Linked DNA regions of Drosophila melanogaster. Changing the gene in region 1 together with any one later gene gives a genetic interaction. Each region holds a gene or a part of one and is shown in the gene's direction. Other genes may lie near its edges. The genes, in order: Sms and GstE1.

What was found.
Region 2: of Sms (region 1) and GstE1, changing one suppresses a phenotype caused by changing the other (phenotypic suppression), as found in Drosophila melanogaster (one study listed by BioGRID).

The regions. Positions count from the first base shown.
Region 1 is NT_037436.4:12,271,085-12,278,938, reverse strand, and holds Sms (spermine synthase), read left to right. Parts: upstream 1-1,687; 5' UTR 1,688-1,764; coding exon 1,765-2,049; intron 2,050-3,751; coding exon 3,752-3,863; intron 3,864-4,827; coding exon of another isoform or gene 4,828-4,936; intron 4,937-5,318; coding exon 5,319-5,441; intron 5,442-5,897; coding exon 5,898-6,481; coding exon of another isoform or gene 6,482-6,754; 3' UTR 6,755-7,283; downstream 7,284-7,854. Other genes in the region: INPP5E (inositol polyphosphate 5-phosphatase E), read right to left, coding at 1-279; Pbgs (porphobilinogen synthase), read left to right, coding at 7,664-7,854.
Region 2 is NT_033778.4:18,396,174-18,399,767, forward strand, and holds GstE1 (glutathione S transferase E1), read left to right. Parts: upstream 1-2,219; 5' UTR 2,220-2,258; coding exon 2,259-2,933; 3' UTR 2,934-3,050; downstream 3,051-3,594. Other genes in the region: GstE10 (glutathione S transferase E10), read right to left, coding at 570-1,292; GstE2 (glutathione S transferase E2), read left to right, coding at 3,351-3,594.

The DNA.
Region 1 (7,854 bases):
CAGCGGCAGCGTTTGGCTTTTGAGGGTGCTCCCATTGTTATTGACATGGTTTGCAGACGTATCTGCATTGCACTTGGCGAAACTGACATCGTATTGGCCACAGGCGGACACGGGTCTCTGTTGTAATCTTGGCGATTCGGGTGTCACGGGATGTGGCTCCACCTTACTAGGTCGCTTGCTCAGCAAACCGAACAGGGAGCTCGCGGTCTTGTGACCGGATCTGGGACTGCTGGTGGAACTGGTTATCCGTTCCTCACTTCCCGCGCTGCTGTGCTGCATGTTGGCTTTAGTCCGAACGAAATGATTCTATCATCTAAGGTGAAGGTGCTAAGTGGTTATCATGCCCCCCTTTTGTCAAGTTAATTCGCTCTATCTGCCGGATCTCTCGAACCGAGCTCATTGTGCGATGGCCTCTGGCTGCCGGCCATATAAATAGTAAAGCCAGACGTCATCGAGCGAGCACAATGCAAATGCGACTTTGGTCCGGCGTTCTGGCTGGTCGCAATGCAAATTATTTTGGGCTCGGCGATGACGTACACGAAATCAGGCTAATTGGGCTGACTGGCGGCGATTGCGTGTGCTGTTCTGTAAGATTTTAATGAAGGTAAACATTTAGGCGGGTTGGTAATACCAAGGGTATAATACACTTACTAACCTGCAAGCAACTAAATAAAAAAAACACATATGTGGGCAGATCCTTTGGGGCGAGAGAGCTGAAAGGATTCAGAAAATCAATATGCTGGGTAATAACTGTGGCGACACCGTCGCGATATATAAAATGGGGAGGATTGTGGGCGATTTGGGGGGTGGTTGGTCGCGGAAGGGTGGTCTTTGGCGACGACGTAACAACATTGGCATGCTGCGGCGCCCACGCATCCAAGCACTGAGCACTCAGCATCTGAACGTCTGAACACAAGCACAATATCCGTCGTCTGCTGGCTGATTCGATTCTCTGGGATCGAGAGATTTATAATTAGCAGACCATTGTTCCCGTCAGCGCAGCCTTGTTGTTCTTGTGTTGTTGGCCTACGTCTAGCATAAAAGCAGCAACAATAGCACATAGCACACATGCGATATTCAAGTTCAGGTTCAGGTGCGCATTGATTTCGCTCTTGGTGTGCTTTTCATGTTCCGCACTGGTACGCACTACCCTTCCACGCTGCTGTCACCTATGCGATTTATGTAATTTTTGTATGATTTACCGCGTTCCAATGTTGTTTACACCCAAAAACTCCGAGCAAGTGCGGAACTTGTCGTGGGAACTGCGATTTAGGGGTGGCAAAAGTGGGCAGCCAACTGCCGATAAGTGGGAGCACGTATCGATAGGTGCGGGCGGGGGTGTTTCAGTGGCTGGGTTGTGACACGATAGATTTAAAGAAATATTTCTTAAATATTAATTAAGATTTGTATTTAATTGTGTTTCCAGCAAAACGTACCAATGTAATATTTATTAGGTAAACATACATAACAAAGCGCTATATATTCAATACAAAATTGTGGGCCAAGTACCCTTCAAAAATTTATTAAGAGGAATTTATAACATTATTATTAAATGTACTTTATTATTTTTTACAATTATTTAATAAACCGTTTCTTATATTAAAAAAAATAATAAGGTTTAATTAACTGTATTATACAGCCACACTAGAAGTGCAATCGAAATCGACTTGCTATCGGTGCTCGTAAGGCGCATCACTAGTATTTCGTTTCGGTCGGTACGCGGTTCAGCGTTTTTGTTCAACGGATTAGCGCAAGTTAAGCACGATGGCGGCCCAGACGATACTGTTTGATTTCACGCTGGACAAGGACAAGACGGCGGATGAGGAGGCGCGCCTCCAGGTGGCCAAAATCCTGCGTAACGAGCTGGAGCAGCTGTTCCCCCAGCTGGAGCTGGCCTACTCGATGGAGTCGCCGGAAAACGGCTACTTTGCGGTGCTGCACGAGAACAAGGACACGGTGATTACCTGCCGCATCTTCCAGCACGGCCTGCTGACGCTCAACGTGGAGTACTTCCTGCCCGATGGCAAGGAGCCGAGCATATCCTTCGACGTACGTATTCAGTGCAATTTAGATTCCTTTAAAAAACTCAAAAAACAAGCAAGCAAACACCCGACAGCAGCACCACCACCCACATCTTTCTTACCCTCCCAGTTTCCGTGTCTCGGCTGATTAGTTGGGGAAAGGGTTTTCCACCCACCGGGTAAAATTGATTTTCCGCGCACTTGTACCCGAGTGTTGTTGCTTCATCATACATACATGTGGGGGTGTGTGCATGGCAAGTGGGCAACCATGTGGGTGGGTTGATTGGTTGTGTGTGTGAGTGTGTTCCTGACCACTCGGCGAGCTCAAATGGCCGGCACTTGGTCAGGGTCAGTTCGTCCGTCCTTGGCCTCAAGTGATGGCTGCCCCCATCCCAGCACTTTCACCAGTTTCTATTATCTAACACCTCTGAAGCACACATCACATACATAGCGATTTCAGCTGGGCTTTGCTAGGTTAACTTGTCGTTCCGGTCCCGTTTCTATGCTTTTCACATTTGGCCGGAGCACGTGGGTTGGGTTCGACTCGCGATCTATTGATTGGCGCCCCTTTGGGGCATGGTACCCATACTAATAAGAAGAAAAACACCCGGAATATGCGGCCCTTATTACAGAAACCAGATTTCAGGTTACACCCTTAGGCACGCATTATTTCATTTGATACTTAAACTTTCTTATACCAGTTTACTCTACTTACGCATGCACATATAAACAAACCTAAGTCAACAAAATGACTGTTGATACCACAAATCTGAGGGTTTTCAAAATGACAACCAGTATTTGTTTGTAAAACAACAAAGAATATAAAATTTGATAGAATATTTCAATTTCTTCCATCATTTGTTTAAGTACATCTAAAATGCTAGAGAAAATGTCCCATGTACATATGCCTACAGCTACGGTAAGCTAAATAGCATCAAAAAAATTAAATTATGTCAAAAAGTCTAAAATTGTTTTGTTCTATAACTATAGCTTTAACAAAATCCCAAGTAAAATTTTTATAAAATTATATTTTTATACAATGATGGAGTTAGTTAGGATATAATCTCAACAAACCTTTGTACTTTATAAATAATTTAATCAAGTAATCGAACAAAGAAATCAACCTAAACCAACTTTTCTATAGGAGTAACTAATATTATCAGACCCATTATTATTTCCTCGTATCATTTGAAATGCTATATCTTGCCGATCGCAGCTGTTTTATTCGCGAGTGCGGAACTTTTCTTATCTAGCCGTCAATATTTTTTCTGCTTACGACTGTTTGCTGTTGGCCTGTGGATTTCGCAAGCCGCATGTGGCTAAGCCTTCTATTGTGATTTCTGTGATTTTGCAATAACATATGCCTGCTGCACATGCAACTAAACAAATGTGTCGCCAGAATGCACATACTTGCATGGCTACTAGCTATATCTAGATATAGGTATATATTCCCTTTTTCGTTTCGTTCTGTTCACTTTCCTTTTTCATAAGTATCAAGTATTTGGACTAAAAATAGTATTTTTCTTGGGCCGGGCTGCCTGTGTGTCGCCGTTTGGTGTGAGTGGGGTGGGTCGTTCGAAGAGTTTTCCGCGCCTGGCGGATGAAGGTCACCTTCCATTAATATAATTTATTCATACTGAGTACCCCAGCCCCCATCGAGCCAACATGCACATTTGTACATCCGACGCCCCCTTGCAAGAAGGACCTCAATAATGGAATTACCATTGCAGACCATGCGCACCATGGAACTGATTTTGCGGCAGAAATTTGATTCCGATCGGTCCAAGTACTTGCCGCCGATTAAACGCGGCGGATATATCGACATATATATGACTAGCTCAGGTTGGTCGAACTTAATGCAACCTACATATATGTACAATCAAAAAAAATCCAGTTTAGTTCCTGCTAGTTTCATTTGCAATGAATATATATAACTTATCTACTCAAACTCACTTCACATACAATTACCTACAATTTATGCCGAAATTCTCTTTCAAAATTCCACTGCAGAATCTAGAACACCTGTGCAGTTTTTCCACTAGTATTTCCGATTGCCGCCACCGCAAAGAAAATAAATAAAATTAGAAAAAAAACCCTCATGACTATCACATAAATTGGACACCGTATCGCAGCTGATGTAAATTCACCGAGTTGTCATTTCCAGCCCAGAATTTGAACCGCCTCCCAAGCTCTGCACATCTCCAAAGCCACCGATCATGTTAGCCTAGCGTGTTACCTTCTAGGGGATTACTTTTCCAGGCCACTCCTGCATGCTAGTTTGTCTAATCTTTGGAAGAAGCCTTCTACCTTTGCAGTAGTGGTGCCAAGTTGCTCATATTATTGTACTGTGGGTTTAATCTCTTTATACCTTTATGTATCCACGCTGATTTTATATCAGCTCCTTGGCATCACTGCAATTTAGCATACCCACTGTTCTAAGATTATTATTTAATTTAAATTACGTTTTATTTTCATATCTATTCCATCGACACTCAACCGATCCATCGATCATCATGAACAACCGCTGCCACCATCTCCTGGACCAAATTACACACCAAAATTGCCACGAACTTGTGAATAAATGTGTAAACTATTGAATTATACTTACGCCCCAACGCACATGTGTCACCTGCCCCGCCTCGAAATCGATCTCGTACTCGTATTCGCTCCACGTCGTACGCTCGCTCATAAATTGGTTCCTCAACAATTGACAATCGACTACAACAACACGAAAATATCAATACAACACGGTTTATAAAAAAAAAAAACAATATACTACTATGTAAAATCGAACGGACATCCGCAGAGCGGTAAGAGCCTGGAGAATGTCCTGGCAATCAAACTGAAGGCCATCAAGGCCCAGAAGCTGCCGACGCTGAAGCGCGGCGATGTCTCCAGGTACTTCCCATCGTCAGGTAAGGCAAACCCAATCCGTTTGGTTAAACATATTGCAAATAGAGCAAATACTACTCGTACTACCGCTACTGTATGTCATCCGAATTGTGTGTGATCGTATGACCGTATGACCATTGAGCGTATGCAGCACCATCGAGCTGATTGTATCAGAGTTCTTCTAGTGGCACCCAGCATGATAGATCATTTCAGTCATTTACTTCTGATTTTCTCTCTATCTATATCTCGTTTACTTTCCGTAAGAGTGCATTTCGTTGGTCTTAAACTTGTTTCTCTGCATGCGACGCCTAACAATTGAGCCGAAATCAGTACTAGTAATAATCAATATCGCACTTAATACGGTCACTAATAAGGCATCACTAATCCATGGCACATCTTCCGCAGATGAGCGCATCATCGAGTACGACATCGACAAGGTGGTCTTCGAGGCGCGCTCGCCCTTCCAGAAGATTCAAATCATGCACTCCAAGACCCTGGGCAACATGCTGCTCCTCGACGAGCTGCAGAGTAAGTAAACCATACCTAGTATAGGCATCTGAATGCAATAAGTGGCACATTCACACATTGATGCGCCAACGGTGTCAGGGTCACCAATCGATTAGTGGAAGTGCCGCAGTAAAGGTCACGTGCAATTGCCTTTAAGAAAAGGTCATCATAAATAAATATAAACTGCACATAAACATAATGCACAAAAGTAAATATTCCATATCACGGGCATTTTCTGGATGCTAATGCTATGTTACCTGACAATTATTCCATATCACGAACACCTAGTTGCTTGTTAACTAAATATAATGAAATATTCTTATTGCTTAAAAGAAGAATAAGAAAGCTGAATTTGAAAACATGAATTCTCGACTAGATTAAAAACTTTTTAAGCTGTCGGTTATGAAAAGGGTAATAGCAACTTCTTTTGATTCTTTTTTAAATATAGATGTCTAATTTCCCATTTTCCACGTACAGACATTGCTGAATCCGATTTGATTTACACGGAGACCCTGATGTGTCGCGGCGTGGAGAACTACGAGGGCAAGGAGATCTGCATCCTGGGCGGCGGTGATGGCGCCTTGTTGTACGAGCTACTCAAGGAGAATCCGAAGCATGTGGTGATGCTGGAGATCGATGAGCTTGTGATGCAAACCTGCAACAAATACCTCAACGTGATCTGCGGCGATGTGCTGGAGAAACGCAAGGGCGATCAGTACGAGATCATTGTGGGCGACTGTGTGGAGTACTTGAAGAAGTTCATCGCCGAGGGCCGCAAGTTCGACTACGTTTTTGGGGATCTTACGGACATACCCATAACCGATGCCCCGGAGGGCGAGACCTGGGATTTCATTCGTACCATCTTCGAGCACTCCTTCAAGGTGCTGAAACCCGACGGAAAGTATTTGACTCATGGCAATGGGTCCACCTGCAAGGTGCAGCTGCGTCTATTCGAGGAGCAGTTGAATTTGCTGCGTCCCAAGGTGAAGTTCACCACCACCAAGGCGTTTGTGCCGTCGTTCATGGAAGAGTGGCTCTTCTACCAAGTGACTTTCGCCTGACAAGCTCAGGTGGACTCCTCAGCAGCAGCAGTAGCTACTTCTAGCGCACCACCAACCGCCAGTCACACACCAGCATCACACAGCATAAGTCAGGAACCGGGAACCGTCGGAGAGATGCTCCAGCTGCACTCCTACACTGTCACTATCCATGGAGCAGCAGTCGGAGTTCAGGAGGAGGAAAATATGAATAATGGAGCCGTGGGTCAATTGAAACCGCGACCAAGGCGTCGAAAGAAGAAGCGTGTACACTACCATCACACGCTGGTTTCTTAGTCCAGGAAACACGGAATCCGATGCACAAGCTAATCGCCATCATCGAAACCATCGCAACAAAACCCAAGACAGAGGAAAACACGCACTTCCAATGGCTGTTACTTACAATTGAAAACCAAACCAAATACTGAACCCAATTCGTTTACGCTTAAGTTAGGCTTTAGTTCCGTTTCTCGTTCACTGATTTCAATGCTAAAAACTAAGACAAAAGTACAACCTTTAAGCAAGGACAGGCTAAAATAATAACTTATGTATTCGTGTTTATTTGAATTACGCCTAAGCATAGCATGTTGGCCAACTATTTGTAATATTTCGTATAACGTGTACATCTATATAATGTAGACCATATGTTTAGTTATCCATTAACAAGCAAAGTGGAGCGGGGAAGGCCCAAGGATCGAGGATGTGTGTATGTGGGTGTGAGGAAGCGTAGCAGGAACACCAACTTTTATTGCTGTAATAACGATTAATACCAAACATTTTAAACGGGAGAACTAATAAAGTTAAATAAATAGTCGTACGCAGAAATAAACAGTGTGGTTTTCTTTTATTTTACCGGGTATTTTAATAATAAATCCTGGAATTCAATAAATTACAAATTCAATAGCAATATTCAAGTAATACTACGCATACGCAGTGTTGACCTATCCTTAATCAATATGGATAAAAAATTAATTAAGGGATTTATCGCTATGAAATTCTTAATATAAATAAAATTTTATCTTAATTATTTATATAAGTTTTTAAATTTAATTATTTTATTTTATCGTGAGCCACCCTAATCTTTTCATGACAGTGTTGGACAACCGTGCAATAGAGCACGCACTAAATATGCCCGCGGGCAGTTGAACGTTAATTTCACTTGTTGTTACGTTGGTTTTAATTTTCACCGGGAGCTAAGCGAACAAAATGGAGCGGAAACTGCACAGTGGAATGCACCATGCCACGCTGCGGCAGCTGCAGGAGTCGGGCTGCGAGATAGCGCCGCACAATCTCATGTATCCGGTGTTCATCGTGAGCAACGACGACGATGTCCAGCCAATTGCCAGCATGCCAGGAATCTCGAGATTCGGACTGAATCGCCTGAAGGAGCACCTGGA
Region 2 (3,594 bases), on another chromosome or scaffold:
TTCGAGACCCGAGCGCAGATAAGAGGCAAATTTGGAAGTGGCATAAAACGGGGGCGAGTTGGGTTTGCTGCGGAGCTGGGCTGGCTAGCTGCTTGGGCGGATGGCGCCGTCATAAATTAATTATGATTTAACAACTTTAGCATGCACGACACGGCAGGAAAACTTTGCGCTTTTCATTTACCCCGCCCTCTTCTATTTTGTGTCGCTTTTGTGGAGGGTAAAATTTTATAATTTTAATGAGCGCAAAAAAGTTGTAAACTTTTGGCTGCGTTGCCATTGGAAATGCACTCCACGCTAGATAGTAATTTATATACAACATAAAAAAAATGTTCGCCATCAAGGACATTTACCGGCCAAGAGCACTTAGATGGCTACAAAGTCTTCAGTTAACTCAGAACAGTATATAGTGAGCCTATACACTGGGAAAAAAAGAAGATTATTCAAACATAATATACATTTTAAATCATTTTGCCAGCAGCGTAAGTTTTAATACATCATATTAAATACCATTTAACATACAATTTTACTTTGGGCAATGCTCTCTTTTCGATGCGACAATGGCTTCCGCATCACTGTTTTCCAGCTCCGCTCTTGATGTCCTCAAAGGCCTTTTGCCACAGCTTGTCAAACTGCTTGGGCAGCTTGGAGCGAATCTTATCGGCCAACAAGCGGGCTCCTCTCAAGTTGTCCTCCTCATAGAAGGGCAATGCGGAGATACGTGCCAACCAGGCGGATAATTTGGGGTATTTGGTCGCATCCACGGGACAGTAGCTCAGGTGCAGAGTGCTCACGGTGGCCACAATGCTAAAATCGGCGATGGTCAGCTGAGGACCGGCCACATAGGGATTCTCCGCCAGAAATTGCTCCAGCAAGGCGTAGGCATCCTTCAACTCAGCCAAACGATCCTTGGGCACCTCAGTGGCATTCTCTTTGAACAGAGCTCTCTGCAATTGCTTGAAGATGCCGTGAAAAAGGACACCGGTCTCGAAATGCAGCCGCTGATCCACCACAGCTCGCTTCAGCGGATCCTTTGGATAGAGCTCATCCGACTGGGCGTACTTGTTCACCAGATAGCCGATGATGGCGTGTGAGTCCCAAATGCATGACTCACCATCCTCCAGCATGGGTACCGTGTGCTGGGGATTCTTGCGTAACATATCCGGCTTCAGATGATCGCCGGCCTGCATGTCCAGCGTATGGAATTCATGGTCCAGCTGGAGGGCACGAAGGGTCAACAAAACGGCACGGACCGGCGGACTGGACTCAGTGCCATATAGAATCAGGTTAGCCATTGTGGTTGCTTAACTAATTGCCTTCTAGCTGGTTGAATTGAGATTCGTAGCAGACAGTGTGCCATCCACAACTGACTCAAGGCAGTCTAAATAATTTAAATTTCTTTCAAACGCGATAAGATTAGATATTAAACTTAGTTTCTTGATAATTACCACAAAGACGTCATAATGCTGCAAGTTTAAGTTTGCCTGATTGTTTATTAATGTCCGGGATAAGTCGGTCTGCTATCTATTAGCTGTGTCAATATTTGATCAATGTCCCCGTGATTTATTTGATCATAGTTGGAGCACCAAAGGGGCTACTTATATACACTGCTAGAAACGTCCAAACGAAACCTAAAGTAACCAGACTCATTAGCAGTGTTTCTATGCAAACATTTTCATATAAATATAATTATAAAATTATGAGTTTAATATTATTACTTCTGTGTATCAGATCATACAATTTTATCCAAAATAACGATAAGCTTTATGCCAGCTTAACTTAAGCTTTAAGCTTTTAGAAACTTTCAAGCTTCGTTAGGAAGACTTGAATTGTAAATTTACATGGGTTCTACATGATTCAAATAGATGTATATTACAATAAATCATAAAACAAGTAACTGTATTAAATTAATTTCTTCTGACAACCAATGTTCCTGAGTTCACAGAGACCTACTTTGTTTTTGATGAGTATATGTTTTTTGTAGTTCACCACTGCATATGGTGTTTTAAAATTAGTATCATATAGATGATTCCAGAACTATCAGTTGGGGGTAATTAATGTTTGTTATGATGAAATAGGCATACATATTATATATATGGTTTTTTTTTAACTGTTTAACACATGGTTTCGAGCTTTTATCTTAGATTTACGAAATGCTCTCTCATTTAGCAAAAAGCTTGAGGCAATAAGGTGTGTATATATGTACAGTAAATAGAGAGATCAGTCGAAAGAAAAACACTGACGGGTAAACAACACGTATCATGTCGAGCTCTGGAATTGTACTCTATGGGACAGATCTCAGTCCCTGTGTGAGGACCGTCAAACTTACCCTAAAGGTCCTGAATCTGGACTACGAGTACAAGGAGGTGAATCTTCAGGCGGGCGAGCACCTGAGCGAGGAATATGTGAAGAAGAATCCCCAACACACGGTACCGATGCTCGATGATAATGGCACTTTCATCTGGGACTCCCATGCCATTGCCGCCTACTTGGTGGACAAGTATGCCAAGTCGGATGAGCTGTATCCCAAGGATCTGGCCAAGCGTGCGATCGTCAATCAGCGTCTCTTCTTCGATGCCAGTGTAATCTATGCCAGTATAGCCAATGTCAGCCGCCCGTTTTGGATAAACGGTGTTACCGAAGTGCCCCAGGAAAAACTGGACGCCGTACACCAGGGTCTGAAGCTGCTGGAGACGTTCCTGGGCAACAGCCCCTACCTGGCCGGCGATTCGCTAACCCTAGCCGATCTGTCCACCGGACCCACTGTAAGCGCCGTGCCCGCTGCCGTGGACATAGATCCTGCTACATATCCCAAGGTCACCGCCTGGTTGGATCGCCTCAATAAGCTGCCCTACTACAAGGAGATCAACGAAGCTCCGGCCCAGAGCTACGTCGCCTTCCTGCGCAGCAAGTGGACCAAGCTGGGCGACAAGTGAAACTAAACTTATATTTAAATATGACATTTCACAAGTTTGAATTCCATCAATTAACAACATACACATCCATTTCTAAAACGTAAACTTCTTCAATAAAATATAACATATATATAAAATATTTAATTTATTTTTTTATTTAATTTATATTTATTTAAATATTTGAATTTATAATAAATACTGAAATTTATAAACTTTAATATGGGACTTGAGTCAGTAATTATTATCTCACAGTTGGGGAACCCGACCGTAATATTTTTATCGCTCATTTATGATATCGTCAGTGTACAATTACAAAAGTTTATTTAAGATACAAATGGGGCAAGCTCAGCGCACCCAATTGGGTTGTTTAGTTAAGCTCGTTTAGATTTCTGTGTGTGGCAAATTTAGTGGAACTTGGGTCTCTCTGGTGATCGCATCATGTCGGATAAATTGGTTTTGTATGGCATGGATATTAGTCCTCCTGTTCGCGCTTGCAAGCTGACCTTGCGGGCCTTAAACTTGGACTACGAATACAAGGAAATGGATCTACTGGCAGGAGATCACTTTAAGGATGCGTTCCTCAAAAAGAACCCGCAGCACACCGTACCACTCCTCGAAGATAATGGTGCCCTTATCTGGGATTCACATGCTATTGTCTGCTACCTGGTGGACAAGTATGCCA